Struthio camelus: one gene and its partner. The protein of the gene in region 2 interacts with the protein of the main gene of each other region in a pairwise test. Links are inferred from orthologs where the notes say so. Each region holds a gene or a part of one and is shown on either strand. Other genes may lie near its edges.

Region 1 (8,036 bases), on a different chromosome or scaffold from region 2:
GGAAAAAGAATAAAGACTCACAAGGCCGCACTGTTTTGTTATCACAGCAAACCTGCTCTCTAGCTCCTGTCAAGCTGTTTTGTTTGAAGTGAGAGGGACTGAAAGCCACAAACGCATAGGAGAGGGTGTGAAGGCAGAGGTGACCCACAGAAAGTTTCCCCTGGCTGCTTTCCATTATTGAGATGCTCACCACAAACAGCTCTGCCACGGGTGTTGCTGTGGGGACACACTCGACAGCTCCACACAGCACTGACTAAGTGCGTGTTTATGGCCAAAGCAAGGCACGCTCAAACAAAAGCATTTGAAAACCAGGAAATGCAGGATGAGGGCCCTCAGAGCAGGCACTATCAAACTGTCTTAACTCTGCCCCTTGCTGTTGGATCAGGAGCATGCCAAGTCGGTCATCTATAGCGGGGTCTGGTATTAATCAGCAGCCACAAGAAGAGGAATGCTTCAATGTTATTTGCATACCGCTTTTGCTGATTTACAGCCCTGTCGGCAGTGACATACCATACAAACAATATTATCAGTTATTTGCAAGAAGAGAATTTTACAAATTCCTCTCTAGACAAACACTGTTGAGGGCTACCATTTCCAAGCCCTTGCATCTGGCCAGCTGCTTAATATCCGGGTGCCTCATGCCTTCCGGGTTGTGATAAGCATTTGGGGAAGCAGGGCTGAGGCCAGTGTCCCAGCTGGCCGCAGTCCTGAAGAAGGTTTTGCATGCCCAAAAGCCTGGCTGTTTTTTCCAATTATGTCAGTAGGGCTAATAAAAGTGATTACCTCTTCCTATCAATCCTGCCTTTCTCATTGATCCCACAGGCCATTCTTCAAATGTCACCCAGCAAGGAGGGAGCACACATCCAATTATGAAAGGAGAAAAGATTAGCGTGATGACAAAGCAGCGGGGTCAGTGGCAGCAATGTGCTGCATGAGACAAATGAGATGTGCCTTGTTTTGACACCCTCCAAGCCAGAGGACCAGAAGGAGGCATTCTGGAGTAAGCAGAGTCCTTGCACTTCAGGCAACCAATATAGGAAATGCAAACTTAACTCTTTTCCTAACCTTTCTTTGGAGATTTGGTATTACGTTTGTTTAAATAAGAAACCTCAAACATACTTCAAAGCTAATAACCACTCCAAAGCACAGATATGGGCATGAAAATCTCAAAAGCAATACAGTTGAGTTGTGGGTGATGAAATTTATTTTTATGTGGGGCCAAATCCTGCCTTTATTTTGAACCTGTGTTCACTAGTCCCATTTGATGTGGACCATGCAAAGCCAAGCGCAGAAATCAGCTTGTGCCAATGGTCTACCCTGACACACCTCATGTAAGTGAGCAAAGATTAGTCAAGCAAGTAAAGAGCTGCAGAACCTAGGAAGAAAAATCAGCCTTTCTCTACTTCCTTCACCACACCCTTAACCACTACAGAGGCTCAAGACTCTTTGAATAAAGCACAACAAAGGCACAATATTTAGATAGCAGCTGGGCTTGCTGATTTCTGCACCCTGGGCCACAGAGATTTCCAGAGTCTGGAAGCAGGTTCTGGAGAAGGATATAGGAATGCTACCAGGGAGCATGGGTTTCTCCATGTACCAGATGCCCTTGTTGAACCGCTTGTGCCAAAGCAGAGAGATCAGCTTTGACTGTCCCAGAGTTGGTGTTTCCTACTGAATTCTCAAACCTGCTTCTCCTCCTTTCAAAACAGTGCTTCGTGCAAGGATGAATATTTGCTTGTCTGTTAGGAAGCCAAATCTTTTTAAAACTCTTTGGTTTACTGTTTGAATATTCCCAGATTTTAGCATAATCCACAGAAAACAGCACACTCACCAGGTTATTAGCAGAAACTTATCATGATCACCTTCTGGAGTTTTCTGATCAGCTCTTAAGAAAGAAGATGGAAAAGTGGGTTGAATATAATGTATAGTTAACACAAGTGCTTTTCCTTCCCCATTCTGCTCTGCTCTCCCAATATTGCATCTGATTTGTAGCTCCACTTCCCCAGCAGTTACTTGCAATATTTCTACTGCAAGGTGAATGCTTCTGGCCACTGGGCAGAGGGGGTGTGGGGGTACCTATGTGCACAGGAGCCAGAGATACTGCACCAAGCAAGTGCTAAAGGAGCTTATATTTATGTAGGGATCAGATCCTTAGCTGGCATAAAGTTAGTGAAGACCAATGGAGAGCAAATGACTTATGTCAGGGGGTTGCAGTTGTACCTATTGATTCAGATGTATATAAAGTATAGCCCTGTTTAGCTCAACAGTGGTCAGTTGAAACTCCTCATTTAGCTAAGGGCATTATTGTTTCTTAAGGTCATTAATGTTTCCTAGTCTTCCACTCACCCAAATCCCCCTGGTTTCCAAAGGCTTGGCATGTTTGCAGTAGAAAGAGGTATCCTGCAGATCTCTTTTTCATGTGTCTTTTTGTTAAAAACTCCAAAGCTTGCAGATGCCAAAGTGGAATATGGAAGCAGTACTGGAAGCTCATACTTAGAAAGATCCTTGCCTAGAGAGAAATCTCATACCACTGAAACTGCCTTTCATCTTATTTCCTGGTGCTGTCACCTCATTTTCCCCTCTGTTTTAAACTACAAAACTTCCTCTGTGTACAACCTGCTCTTCTCTATAAATAGCCCTAGGCTTAGCTCACGCAGTCCATGCATGACATGGGACACCTAGTGGTTTGCAGGGCCAGACCAGACAAGGTGTCTGGCTCTTCTGCCATGTGCTGGCACGGGCAAGAGAAACAGCAACTGCAGGCAGCTCCCCTCTGCAAGCCGTGCCTTGCACTTAGCACTTTTGCATTTCCTTGTAGTGAGAAAGAAAAATGAGGCAGAATTCTGAAGCCCTGTCAAATTCTGATGGTTGATGTGTTTCAAATGAGATCCAAAATTATTCACCCTTTAATAGCTAAAGAAGGTTAGGCAGGAGTCCTCCACCATCAAGCCTGTTATTAATAAAGGCAATGTTTGCATTTCTGGATCCTGAAGTGGCAGTGGGGGACAGTCCTATGTGCACAAGCCTGGGGTGACTCGTAAACATCTGCTTCTGGAAGGCACAAAGACAATGCGGGGTACCTAAGGAGGCACTGAGATGCAGTTACTTTTGGTACAGCTGGTGGCCAGAAGGCACGTGGGTAAATTTGGGCAAAAGCAACTCTTTGTATTCTCCCTTTCTCTGACATGGGATAATTTTAATTACTGTGCAAATCACAGCCTTCAGGCTCCACTATCATCTCCAGCAGACCCCTGGGCACTGCAGGAAGCATTACGTATGTCTGCAAGGGGGCAGCACGAGGCCAGATGGTTTCTGCACAGGCAGAAATGAAACTCAAGTGGTGGAGTTATCTCCCTTTAGGTTAAAAGGGACTTTGCAGGATTCCTTAGTCCTTATTTAGCAAATTTGTTTGCTTTGGAGGGAAATACTTGTGACTGATAGTCTCCAGCATGTCTGGCGGTAGTGTGGCAGACTGCAGTGTGCAGCAGTTGTGTGGCCTTCCAGCCCCCGACCAGCATGCTTGGCCCTGTCAGGGGATGCGCTCCGTGTGCTCAACCACCACCACAATTTTAGGGGCTGGGCTGCACCTCGAGCACCCAGTACACAGTCCCACCAGCCAGCTTCCAGGTGCCTGCCCCAGCCATGGGCTGTGGAGTGGCCAGCTCCCCGCAGGAATGGTGCTGGGCTGGGGGCTGGGAGGGATGGAGACCGTGGGTGACACCCTGTCTCAAAGTGTTGCCTGTGAGGACAGGCGCTCCCCAGGGTCACCCAGCTCTCAGGAAAGTCCAAATCCCAGCACCCAACCAGACACAAAGTCTCTCTGAGAGCAGCAGCAGATATACTGTGGTGGGGAGTGAGTGGGGGATGGGGGCACATGGAACGTGGTGGGTTGAGGACACATGTGGGAAGGGGTTCAGGGACACCATAGGGCAAGGAGCACGTGTGGATCACAGGGACACTGCAGAGCAGGATTGTGCATGGGGTGCAGGGACAGCGCAGGGCAGGGAGCATGTGTGGGGCACGTGGACACCATGATGTGGGGCAGAGATGTGCGTGGGGTGTGGGAGTGTGGGGACACCGCAGGTCAGGGGCACGTGTGGAGCGTGAGAACAACGTAGGGCGGGGAGCATGCATGGGGCATATGGACACTGGAGGCCAGGGAGCATGCATGGAGTGGGGGGACATGTGTGGGGCAGGTGACACCATGGGATGGGGTGATGCGTGGGGCAGAGGGGCATGCTTAGGGTGGTAGTGTACATGGGGAGGGGGGTGTGAAAACCCTGTAAAGCGGGGAGTGCATGAGTTGTGCGGGCACCATGGAATGGGGGCGCATGCGTGGCGGGGGGACACCACAGGCTGGGGAGCCCTCGGTCATGGGGACACCATGAGGCAGGAATGTGCGTGGGGCACGGGGACACTTTGGGGCAGGGAGCGCTTGGTTGTGGGGACACCGCGGGTAGGGGATGTGCATGGGGCGTGGGGCCACTGCAGGGCGGGGAGTGTGCGTGGGAGTGCAGGGACACCTTGGGGCATGGCACTCAGTCGCGGGGCCACCACGGGGTGCAGATGCGCGTGGGGCGCCGAGCCACGGCGGGGCGGGGACGCGCGTGGGGCACGGGGGCACTGCGGGGCGGGGAGCGTGCGTGGGGCGCGGGGACACCGCCGAGGGGGGACGCGCGTGGGGCGCGGGGACACCGCCGGGGGGGGGGGGAAGAGGCGCGGCGGCCGCCGCCATTGGCTGTCGCTGTCCTGATGTCACGGCGGGGTGTTGCTATAAGCTCCGCGGCGCCTAACGGGCTGGGGGCAGTCGGGGCCGGGCGCGGCGCCGCCGCGGGACGGGACGGGACGGGCGAGAGCGGAGCGGAGCGGAGCGGAGCGGAGCGCGCCCAGCCGCGCAGCCCGGTGCCCCTGCCCGCGTCCAGCCCGCCCGCACCTGCCGCGCCGTATGCGCGGCGCCCGGCGCAGCGCCGCCGCGACGCAGCCCTAGGCGCGGGCGCCTCGCCGAGCCCCGCGGGCGGCGGCGCGGGGGGCCATGGGGGCGGTGGGCGCCGCGCTGCCCGGCGGCAACGCCAGCGCCAACCAGAGCGCCGCCGCCGACCCCACGCTGTCGCGGGACGTGTGGATGGTGGGCATGGGGATCCTCATGTCCGTGATCGTGCTGGCCATCGTCTTCGGCAACGTGCTGGTGATCACCGCCATCGCCCGGTTCCAGCGCCTGCAGACCGTCACTAACTACTTCATCACCTCGCTGGCCTGCGCCGACCTGGTGATGGGTCTGGCCGTGGTGCCCTTCGGGGCCAGCCACATCATCATGGAGATGTGGAATTTCGGGAACTTCTGGTGTGAGTTCTGGACTTCTCTGGATGTGCTCTGTGTCACAGCCAGCATCGAGACCCTCTGTGTCATCGCCGTGGACCGGTACTTCGCCATCACCTCTCCCTTCAAGTACCAGAGCCTGCTGACCAAGAGCAAGGCACGCGTGGTCATCCTGGTGGTGTGGGTAGTCTCTGCCCTCACCTCCTTCTTGCCCATCCAGATGCATTGGTACCGGGCAGAGCGTGAGGAAGCCATTCTGTGCTACAAGGAGGACACATGCTGCGACTTCTTCACCAACCAGGCTTACGCCATTGCCTCCTCCATCATCTCTTTCTACCTGCCACTCGTGGTCATGGTCTTCGTGTATGCCAGGGTCTTCCTGGTGGCCAAGAAGCAGCTGCAGAAGATAGACAAGAGCGAGGGGAGGTTTCACATCCAGAACAAGGAGCAGGAGCAGAACGGGCGAACTGGGCACCGCCGTTCCTCCAAGTTCTACTTGAAGGAGCACAAGGCCCTCAAGACCCTGGGCATCATCATGGGCACCTTCACACTGTGTTGGCTGCCCTTCTTTATCGTCAACATTGTGCACGTCATCCAGGACGACATCATACCCAAGTACGTGTACATTCTCTTGAACTGGCTGGGCTATGTCAATTCTGCCTTCAACCCTTTGATCTACTGCCGGAGCCCGGACTTCAGGTATGCCTTCCAGGAGCTCCTGTGCCTCCGCAGGTCTGCCCTGAAGATGTATGCCAATGGGTACTCCAACAGCAACGGCAGGAGTGACTACAATGAGGAGGAGAACAGCTATCCCCTGGCATCGGATAAAACCTGTGAGTTGCTCTGTGAAGAAGGCTCCTTCCCTAACCCAGAGGACTTTTTGCACTGCAAAGGTACTGTGCCTAGTGGGTAGCTTTGAGACGTGATGGGCTCTGGTGTGGCACACCTTGGTTACAAAAATGAGCCTTTCTCTCTCTCTCTCCCTCTCTGTCTCTAAGGAAAAACAACCCCCCCCCCAAGAAAAATAATGATCCACTTTTAAAATGTATCTAAAATCTGGTGGCTGCAAGAAATCTAAAACTCAGCAAACCTTGTGCGAACAGGTGGAAGGTTGCTCTGGGAATGGTCGGGCGGGCTAGTTGTTTGCAGAGTGTCAGAAGTACTGTAGCACATACTTGTGTAGAGGCGCAATCTTCATTCGTTGAGTGGGGAGGTTTTAAGGCTGTGCAGAAAGCTCAACCCAGGAGGAACTTCTTGACTGTGGTGGCTGTTGAACTACCTCATGGACTTAGTGTTAATAACCAGGCTGCTGGTGCAGGAAACCCTCTGCAGGGCGGACAGGAGCCCCTGCCTGTGGGGAGGCTCCTGCCGGCTGCGGGTGCCCTCTGCCCACCCCAGTGATTGCACTTCATGGCAAACCCCAGGTGATGTTGCCTACCTTAAAGTCTTCCCAGTTCCTTTGTCACAACCAAGCCTCCCAGCAGACTGGTGGCCCGTAGGACCCCTCCTCGGCCAGTTATGCAGCCTTGGGCAGTAGCCTCTGTTGTCCAGCCCAGGAAACTGTGCAGAGATGCCACCCTATGAACAAGCTCCTAAAAGGGATGCTAGGACCAGGGCTGCATGGTCTGAGCACGGCTCGGAAAGGCCATGTCAGATCTGCAGCTATTGCTCTCACTGGGACAGTTTAAACAACGCCCAGAAACAACGAATGCTTTTTGCCAAGTGCTGTAGGACGTTCATCTGAAATAAGAATAGAAATAAATGGACTATTTGCCCAGAATGTGAGACTGTGACGGTGGGACTCAGGAACATGGTACTGGAAAGTTGGGTGAAATGCTGCTAAAATCACGGACCATCCTTTTGTTCAAACTCTGGCCAAAGCTTCCTCCAACCTTTAAACTGTTGAATTCCTTTAACTTCAGGTCCCAAGTGACAGGGAACCCGAGGAGGCGGGAGGGGAGGGGATTTTTTATTTTGTTTCAAAGAGGACTGACACTCGGAGGGGCACAGCTCTAGCCCCGGTTTGTTTGTTTGTGAAGGGCTTTTTTTTCCCCCTCCTTGCGGCAGGCTTTGCATTTTGTTCCCGGGTTACAAAACTTGGCTGCGAGTTCCCCGGGCTGTCAGAGGGGAAGCTAATCCGCAGACACGGGCAGGCAGGTGCGGGCTGGACGAGCGGGGACGGCAAAGGGCGCCTGCACTGCTGCCCAGTTATTCTCAGAAAGTCCCTGGTTGGAGGAAACCGGCAGTCGGGCTGGGAAAATAAAAGTGTCCCCGTTGCCTTCCCCCTCAGCTGCTGTTTGAAAGGGTGAACGCAAGGGCTGGGAGGATGTAGAAGCGCTGTGTCTTTTCAGAAACGGGGAGATGCAGGGGAGAAATGGGCTCGCAGGAGCTGTCACCTGGCCGTGGGGCTGTGGTGCCCCGTGGAAGGATGCTTGGCATCACCTTCATGGGCTCTCGCCTCCTCCCCAGAGAATTCAAGCACCTGCCCTGCGCTGCCGTCGCTTTTCTGACACTGGCGACGCGCTGTGATGGGTCCCTGGTGCGTGGCGGTCAGTGGGTCCCTGGCAGAGCAGGAGTGCGGAGGGGGGAATGTGAAGGCACTGGGGCGACTGGCTGGCGTTGCAGGCGTCCCTGTGCCAAGACCCCGGCCGAGCCAAGCCCCCTCTGAGCCATGTCCTCGGACGCTGGTCCCCACTGCTGCAGGTAGCAGAGGGGGCTTG
Region 2 (8,011 bases):
ACACTTGTATTGCAATTCTATATTTCTTATTGACTGCAGGTTGAAAAACATGGATAAAGTTTTTTAAAAAGGAAAGATTTTATTAATTTTTCCTGATGTGAATTTTATAGCCAGGCAAAGGAGAAAAATACCTTCCCATCTCACCTCTAGTAGATTGTTAGGGGATTATTGTAGATTATTGGGGGCGCTTTTCTGTTTGTGCACAGAAATTCATGAACATGATTACTAGTAAAATGGATGATGCTAAACATGAGAGCCTAAAGTAAGTTGACTTGGTGTGGATGGACATAATTGACGTGGTTTTACTCTCACTGTCTTAATCTATGGTCTCTTAAGAATATTTGCTAATAATAGATACTCTTTTGCCCCAACTCCACTTTATACAAATGTAACTTACTCCCCAGGTAATGCACCTCTAGAAAAAGTATTGACTTTATCTTCTTCCCTCTCCAACTATTGAGGTTGTTAGGTATTCTACATATTCTTCTGCCTTTTGGATAAAATATAGGACAGCAAAGTGGTAATCAGTCACATTTTAGTTTTCCACGTAATGTGGATCGCTTGCCTTTTTATTACTAATAAAAACAGAAGGATTGTTGGTAATCATGTTTCAAAACAAGGACAACTTTAAAAACAAACCTACTTGGACTCTGTGATATGGGCAACTGATGCTGACCCTTTAGAACAGAATTCAGACTTTAGGAGAAGAGAAAGTTTAAAAAGAAAAATGTGAAGCCAGATAGGAATAGCAACATATACTCAGGAGCCATTGTAAGCTTTCTTAATGGACGTCAATAAATGCAGAAACACAACAGTAATTACAAGAAATTCCCAATATTACCATTAAACTTTGAATTCCTCTTCGAACTTCAACTTAAAACCTTTTCAACATTTGTTTATTATCACTGAGCCTGGTCCAGCCATATAAGCAACTGACATCAACAATAAAAATCCTTCGATGGTTTAGGGGATTTTGATCTCTTGGAAATAAAAATCCCAGTGATACTGCATCATAGGAAATAAGTTATCTCCGAACTCAAGATTTCTCTTACACAGTAATATACATCAAAACCCAGTGAGATATAAGGAGACAGTGTCAACTGATCAGTTTATCAAAAGCAGGGAAAAAAGTTGTTCTTTTGTTCTAAATGAGGAAGGACAGTGCAGTGCATGGGGACTGAACATGCCAGAGCTTAAAACTAAAGAACAAAAATTATTCTAGGAAATTTACTCTTTTTCTTCTTCATTGACCAACTGAACCCTGAGGAGAGCTAAGCAAGACAGTAATAATCCCTTCTCGCTGCAAAAGCCTAACATGTTCAGGCTAAGATTATCACTTACGCAAATAAGTATGGGAGATGTCAAAAAAAAAAAAAAACATGCTGTAAGCATTGAAAACTTTTGATTTCTTTACCATCGCTGAAATGTGAAAGAACAGAAAAAAGAATGAATGTATTTGAAAACCTTTCAAATTCCATAATTTTATATTTTTTTCATACAGAAACATTTATTATCTTTCCTATTATAGATCTTGGCTGCAAAAACATCTCCAAATTTCAGTTCCATCATCTAGCAGAGAATTTTTTTTAATGTGTTATAAATATAATCGTCTGGTTGTGGTTTGTGAGACTATTTCTAGGCTGATGCATGATTTGGTAGAAGGATTGTCAAAATATGTAGAACTCCTTCAAAAGAGGAGCACACTACAAAGTTGTGAAAGCCTGACTGAACTAAAAGAATTAGAATGTGACAGAGTAGGAAAGTCATCCTAAAGGCAGATCTTATCATAAGAAACAACTCACTGATATGAAAGACACTGGACATAAGTAAAAAAACTAACAATCCCCCAGAAATTACATGGACTGTACAATTTTTTAATGGAGTAGTTGAAACCAAAGAAACTGGGAAACCCACATCTTCAGACACTAACTTCTAGCATCTTACAAGGCAGCAACACTGACATTGTAAACAGGGGAATATAATAACAGTAAATTAATTGTTTTTAAAGCCAGCTAAAGAGGGTCTTTGCAGATTGACAGAACTAAGTAATTACGGTGAGGTGCAGAAGCAGCACGTCAATCCTAACCCTGCACAAATCTATGTCTCAATGAGATGAGAAACCCCTAAGGAATATCACCTCTTGCATGTACAAGGTTTTAGCAAGACAAAAGCCCAGAAGAGCACTTTGATCACAGCTATATAGATACCACAAGCTCCTCCATTCTAGGCAGGGTGATTTTATGGGAACAGCCTAGAAAATCTAAGTATTTGCATGTACTGCTCTTTGTAACAAACCAAACACTTAATGAAGTAAGATAAATGTGACAAATTTGTAGGCAGAGGACAATAACTTAGGAGCCCTTTTTTGTGTTCAGAAAACAAATTTCTGTATTACAAACCAGATGGAATGCTGACACTGAAAAAATGATGCACTGCTCGGTTCTTATCTCACCAGTAAAGGATCTGTGACGTAAACCAAATACTGCTTAACCTTACTCTTTGCGATCCATATTTCTTCCAGAAGTATGCAGAAGGGCAGTACCTTTGCTAACTCCCGTCTGCTCCTTCCATATAAAAGCCAGAAGAAATATTCCGCAGTATCCTTTAAAGAGCAAGCAGTGAATTTATCATATCTGTTTGCAATGCCCTTTGGGACTCTTCAGGAAGAAAGGCACAGTAAATGTAAGCTCATTATCATCATTAACTCCTTTTATGCACCAGCTGAGCTCAGAACAAGCAAATGGGAGAAAAAATATAAGAAAAAAAGGGTAAAATATACTAAGCATTATTTTATTTTCCTGCTGGTCATTTTTTCCTGTTCATAAATATCTTTATTAGACAAAACTTAACCATTTAACTCCACCAAATGATACTTATATTGCTAAGGATGAATAAGAATAAAATGGCCTAATTTATATTAAGGGACGTAGCAGTGCCTAATTTTTACACTTGTTTTCCTAAGCTTAGAAACATCTCAGACTTCCCACAGTCACACCTCACATGAACGTATGAGAGAATGGTTTCAGGAAAAGGAAGAACTTTTCAGTTTGTCCAGTGTCTTTTTGCATAACTATAGCACCTGCCCAGCGGCATGGCGCTACATCTGATTTGGATGAGACTTGACTCACTAATTTTAGCCATTAAAAAGTCAGACTTTTTATCCAAAATAGTTTTCTAGGCTCCTTCTAGGGTACAACAGTGAGAGAGAAGCATCTCCAGAGAGCAATTTATACCACATACCTTGGACATTAATATGGAATTAATGGTCTTCAGAAGGCACTTTGCTCTCTCCATTGATAATAAAACACAGTGAGTATCTTTATGTAAAGGCCTAACTTCCTGGCAGTTAGGTGAGTTTGTGAAGCTGTGCTTGTATAAATAAATAATAATTAACAATTCATATGGAAGGGTCCTTTTGTCACTGCAGCTTGAGTCAACCCCATTGAAATCAATGGTAGTAGTCTTGTGTCTTTTACTCTATCTGATAGATGTGGCCCTATGTGTGTGTGTGATGTATGTTCTACTGCTGTAGACTTACATGGTTTTCTCTGTTGACTATTAATACAGAAAAGACAGGGCCCTAACCTGCCGGTACTGGCTACATGCACAACTGTCAAGACTTTAAAGATTGGCCTCAAGGAAGAAGTTCACAGGACTAGATCAGATCCATGGTCCTGAATCCAGTCCGTGAAACAAGGAGCTCTCATCACCTTGACTAACGTTCTGGTCTTTAAACCAAATGGGTTAAGAGAGTTTGAGAGAGGAAAAAAAAAATGAATGGCTCTCAAACAGCTTTATGGGATACAGTTAAAACTGTTAGAAACGTGTTGGAAATAAGCTACAAAAAAAAAACCTCTTAAAATGGAAATGAGAATGATGGAGTGCCCCACAATTTAAGGCTACTTACAGTGAAATATTTACTCCATCCAGTTTTGGTCAACTAAGAAGTCACTGGAATGAAAAATATGAGAAACAAGAGGAGCAAGCTGGAAAAGCCTTCTGACTGTACAAAGACCAGAAATAAAAGCATACAAAAACGTTCAAAACCGGAAAGAAAGGTAAGCCTGCCTCCTCAAGCACTGAAAATACCGGGAGGTGCTCCGGGCACTCGTGAGCCGCAGGGGTGAAGTCGTGGACGCCATTCCTTCGGCGGCACCGTGCCGTTTCTCCTTCCACCTGAGGATTTGCCTCCCTTCACCCGCTGCCCCTCGACGGTGACAGGACAGAGGAATCGGTCCCTCTGCTCCTCCAGCCAGGGGAGCCGGGGGGCTGCCAGGCCGTTGCCTCGCCGCCGCCGCCGCCGCCGCCGCCGCCGCCGCCGGGCGGGCGGGCGGGCAGCGGACCGGGAGGGCGGGCGGGCGGACCCCGCGCCGCCGCCGCCGCCGCCCGGCGGGGAGGGCAGCGCTGGCCCCGCGGCGCCGCCGGGCGGCGCGTGCGCACTGCGGGCCGCCGCGCTCGCTGCCCGCCGCCCCTGCGCGCCCGGGAGCCGCGGCGGAGCCGAGCCGAGCCGAGCCGAGCGGGGCGCAGCGCGGCCAGAGCCGGCGGGCAGCCGTGCCTGCCGGGCGAGCAGCGCAGCCGCCGCTCTCCCGCTGCTCTGCCTGCCGGGCGGCTTTTGCCGTTGCTTCTGGCTCTCGCTGCCGGCCGCCTGGCTCGCAGAGGCGGAGGCAGCCGAGCAGCACGTTACCGGGGCGGGGAGCCCCGGCCGCTCTCGCCGGCATCGCCAGAACCGCGACCAGCAACTTTGCGGCGCCGGTCGTGCGCCCCCACCTCCGCCTCAGTGCAGGCGCTTACGCAGCGCCGTTATTAAACCCGGCGAGAGTTTTGCAAAGCTCTTAAACACCCTAAGCCGCGTGTAGCAACCGGTTTTCTCCGAGGTTGCCGGAGAAGAGGAATTAGTGCTTGCAGTTACCCGGAGAGGGGAGGCGTTTTCCACAAGGGACCTTTCCTTACCAATAAAGCCACCAACTACAGGCAGCGGCGGGAGGATGTAAATGGGCAGCACAAGACCCGGTGCAACTGTTAGCAAGAAGGCAACGATCCCCGGGAAAGGGCGGAGCGCCGGAGGGGGGTCCTCCCGGCGCGGCACTTGCTACATTAACTCGGAGCGGCGGAGACGGTGACACAACTTTCCCGGGTTTGCCCCGGGAGGCTGCGAGAAGAGCCTCCCTCCTCCTCCTCCTCCTCTCGCCGCGCCCCGAGTGCCGGCCGCCCCCCGCGGCGCATCCCCCGGCGGCAGCAGGAGCCGCGCTCCCGAGCGAGAGGCACCGGCACCCCGGGCGGGCCGGGCGGCCCGCTCTGCCGGGCGGACATGGCACCTACCCCGAGCCCCGCCGAGCGGGGCGGCCGCTGCCTCTAAAGGGGTCCGGGGAGCCCCGCCGCCTCACAGCCATGCGGCCCCGCGGCGCTGCCCTCGCCCTGCTCTGCCAGCTGCTGGGGGCTTGGGCTGCCGGCGCCCTGGCCCCCGGGGCGGCCGGCGGGCTGCAGTCGCGCACCGAGCGCTCGCCGCCGGCCCCGACCGCGACCGCGACCCTCCTCGCCCCGGCGCCGCGGCGGGCGGCGGCCGCGGCTCTCCCCGGGCGCGGGGCCCTTCCCGGCGCTGCCCCGCGGCGGGACGGCGGCGAGGGGCAGCGGGCAGCCGCGGGGCCGGGCGGCACCTGCGCTCCGCGCGGGGCGGCGGCGGCCGGGCGGCGCCGCGCGCGGAGCGCGCGTGGAGCCGGCGCGGCGGCGGGGAGGGGCGCGGCGGCGGCGGCGGCGGCGGCGGCGGCGGGCGGCCCGCGCTGGCTCCCCCTGAACGGCTCGGCCCGCGGCGGCGCCGAGGGCAGCGCCGGGGCCCGCGGCAACGGCACGGGGCGCCGCGGCCGCCTCCGCAACCCCTTCTACCCGCTGACCGAGGAGTCGTACGGCGCCTACGCCGTCATGTGCCTCTCCGTGGTGATCTTCGGCATCGGCATCATGGGCAACATGGCAGTGATGTGCATCGTCTGCCACAACTACTACATGCGGAGCATCTCCAACTCCCTGCTGGCCAACCTGGCCTTCTGGGACTTCCTCATCGTCTTCTTCTGCCTGCCGCTGGTCATCTTCCAGGAGCTCACCAAGAAGTGGCTCCTAGAAGACTTCTCCTGCAAAATCGTCCCGTACATCGAGGTAATTTGGGGGGGGGGGGGGGAGCTAGCGGGACTCGAGCCGTGCCGTGCCCCGGTGCCCGCCTGCTCCGCGCCGGCTCGGGGCAGCCCCGCCGACCCTCGCAAGGCCGGTATTGCTTCCTCTGGTTTTCCTAAGCGCTTTTGGAAGGGAGCGCTTCCCCTCCCCGCCCCCGCTCCCTCAAAAGACGCGAGGATGTTGCGGCCGGTGCAAGGACCGACAGCACCTGAATTTCCGTAACCTCAAACTAATCGCATGTAGCTCTTCCATTCATGCCAATTCTGCCAAACTTTTATTGCTTCTTGTAGTCCTGAAAGGCAAACAATCCTCTCAGAAGTAGATTTTAAGTTTGTGTTTTTCCTAAAGTGAACTGGTTCAGGAAAAGTGAAAGGAAGGGGTAACTGGGAATAAGTTGTAAAAAGGCGATTGTATCATCGATGTGATGTATGTGCTATTCATTTACACTTCGGCGTTCAAATCTCACATTTATTTATTTGATTTATCTTGGGGAAAAAAAAGAAAAAAGGAAGAAAAAATCCTGATGACGTTTAAATCGCAGCCTCTTGGCACTTGTTCAGAGGCTGTGTCAAAGAAGCGCTCAGCCAGCTGGCCGGAGTCCTGCCGGCAGCGTTCAGGTCGTTCGCTTTATTTATTTACTGGAACTGAATACTGAGGCTTGTTGGTAGGGTCGTAGCCCACGATTCTGGCAAGCTCTGCTATATGCCCAAAACCTTATGTTCAGCATTATTCTTTAACCTAAAGCTTAGAGAGGTGTTGATTTACTGGTCCTAAGAATGATGTATTAGGGAAGAAAGAAACAATTAATCTTGTTTTCAGTGCAGAGAAGAGCAGTTTCCACAGCACATTGATGTAGAGTAATACATAATTACCTACCAGCTGAATTTTTTAAGGAAATGTTTAGAAAGACATGTGAGGTGTAGCCACTAGAACAGTTGTGGTTACTTTTTTTATAAGTGATACATGCTATTACTGGTGGACAAAGGGTGGAGCTGTGCTACACCTACATGAATTTAAGTCCAGTAGTAAGTCACTTTCATGATTTGAGAAACACAGAGTGCACCTTATCAATTTATCAAGAAGAAAAGCACTTTATCAAGAAGAAAGAAATATGTAATCAATTGTGATACATATTTGTTGAGAATACTCATTGGCAGTAACTTTAGCTAGGAGCTCTCAAAATTTCTAAATTCAGTTCTGTGGCTACTTTGTTAACTAATAAAATGTGTAGTTACAGTTCCAATTAAAGTATAACCACTTCGATTAAAATGGTTAGTGTGGCTAAATTATTTTAGGACTTTTGTATGGTGACATTTCACGTTTTCTGAATCTCTTTTGGTGGATCTACATACAAAATAGCAACAATCCTTTGTAATGTTGGTTCTAATTAAAGGTCAGTAACTGAAAATGATTTGCACAGCCATATCTTTTTTTCCAAATTAGCTGCTTATGCTGTGCAGTTTGAAGTGCTGAGGAGTTTGTCACTTCATAAATTAAAGGAAAATGCCCAAAACTTCATATTTTAATGAAGATATTACTAATTTAAATGGATAAGAAACAGAGAGAATCTTCCAGAGTTACATAAACAGATGGCTTAATGTACAACTACATTTCATTTTAGTAGTACGAGTCTGTAATTATTTTAGCCCTACAGGAAAAGGGGATACCTTTAGGATTGCCCAGTACGCACATGCTCTGGAATTTACACTTTCATCACTGAATCATAAAAGTAGCTTGGGTGAAACATAGTTGCCAAAATTCAAAACTGTAATCCTGAAAACATTAATTCAGCTGCTGTCAACCCCCCTTTAAATTCTGATGCTGCACTTTTTTTTCCCCCCACTTTAAA

Evidence for each region. The genes of interacting proteins can lie anywhere in the genome.
Region 1: the proteins of GPR37 (region 2) and ADRB2 interact in a protein complementation assay, tested with the Homo sapiens proteins (2 studies listed by BioGRID and IntAct, with this or other methods). The link is inferred for Struthio camelus from reciprocal best matches to the Homo sapiens genes GPR37 and ADRB2.

What each region holds. Positions count from the first base shown.
Region 1 is NC_090954.1:7,879,292-7,887,327, reverse strand, and holds the start of ADRB2 (beta-2 adrenergic receptor), read left to right. Parts: upstream 1-5,005; 5' UTR 5,006-5,032; coding exon 5,033-6,209; intron 6,210-8,036. UniProt on the Homo sapiens protein: Beta-adrenergic receptors mediate the catecholamine-induced activation of adenylate cyclase through the action of G proteins. The beta-2-adrenergic receptor binds epinephrine with an approximately 30-fold greater affinity than it does norepinephrine.
Region 2 is NC_090942.1:24,529,950-24,537,960, forward strand, and holds the start of GPR37 (prosaposin receptor GPR37), read left to right. Parts: upstream 1-4,967; 5' UTR 4,968-5,388; coding exon 5,389-6,147; intron 6,148-8,011.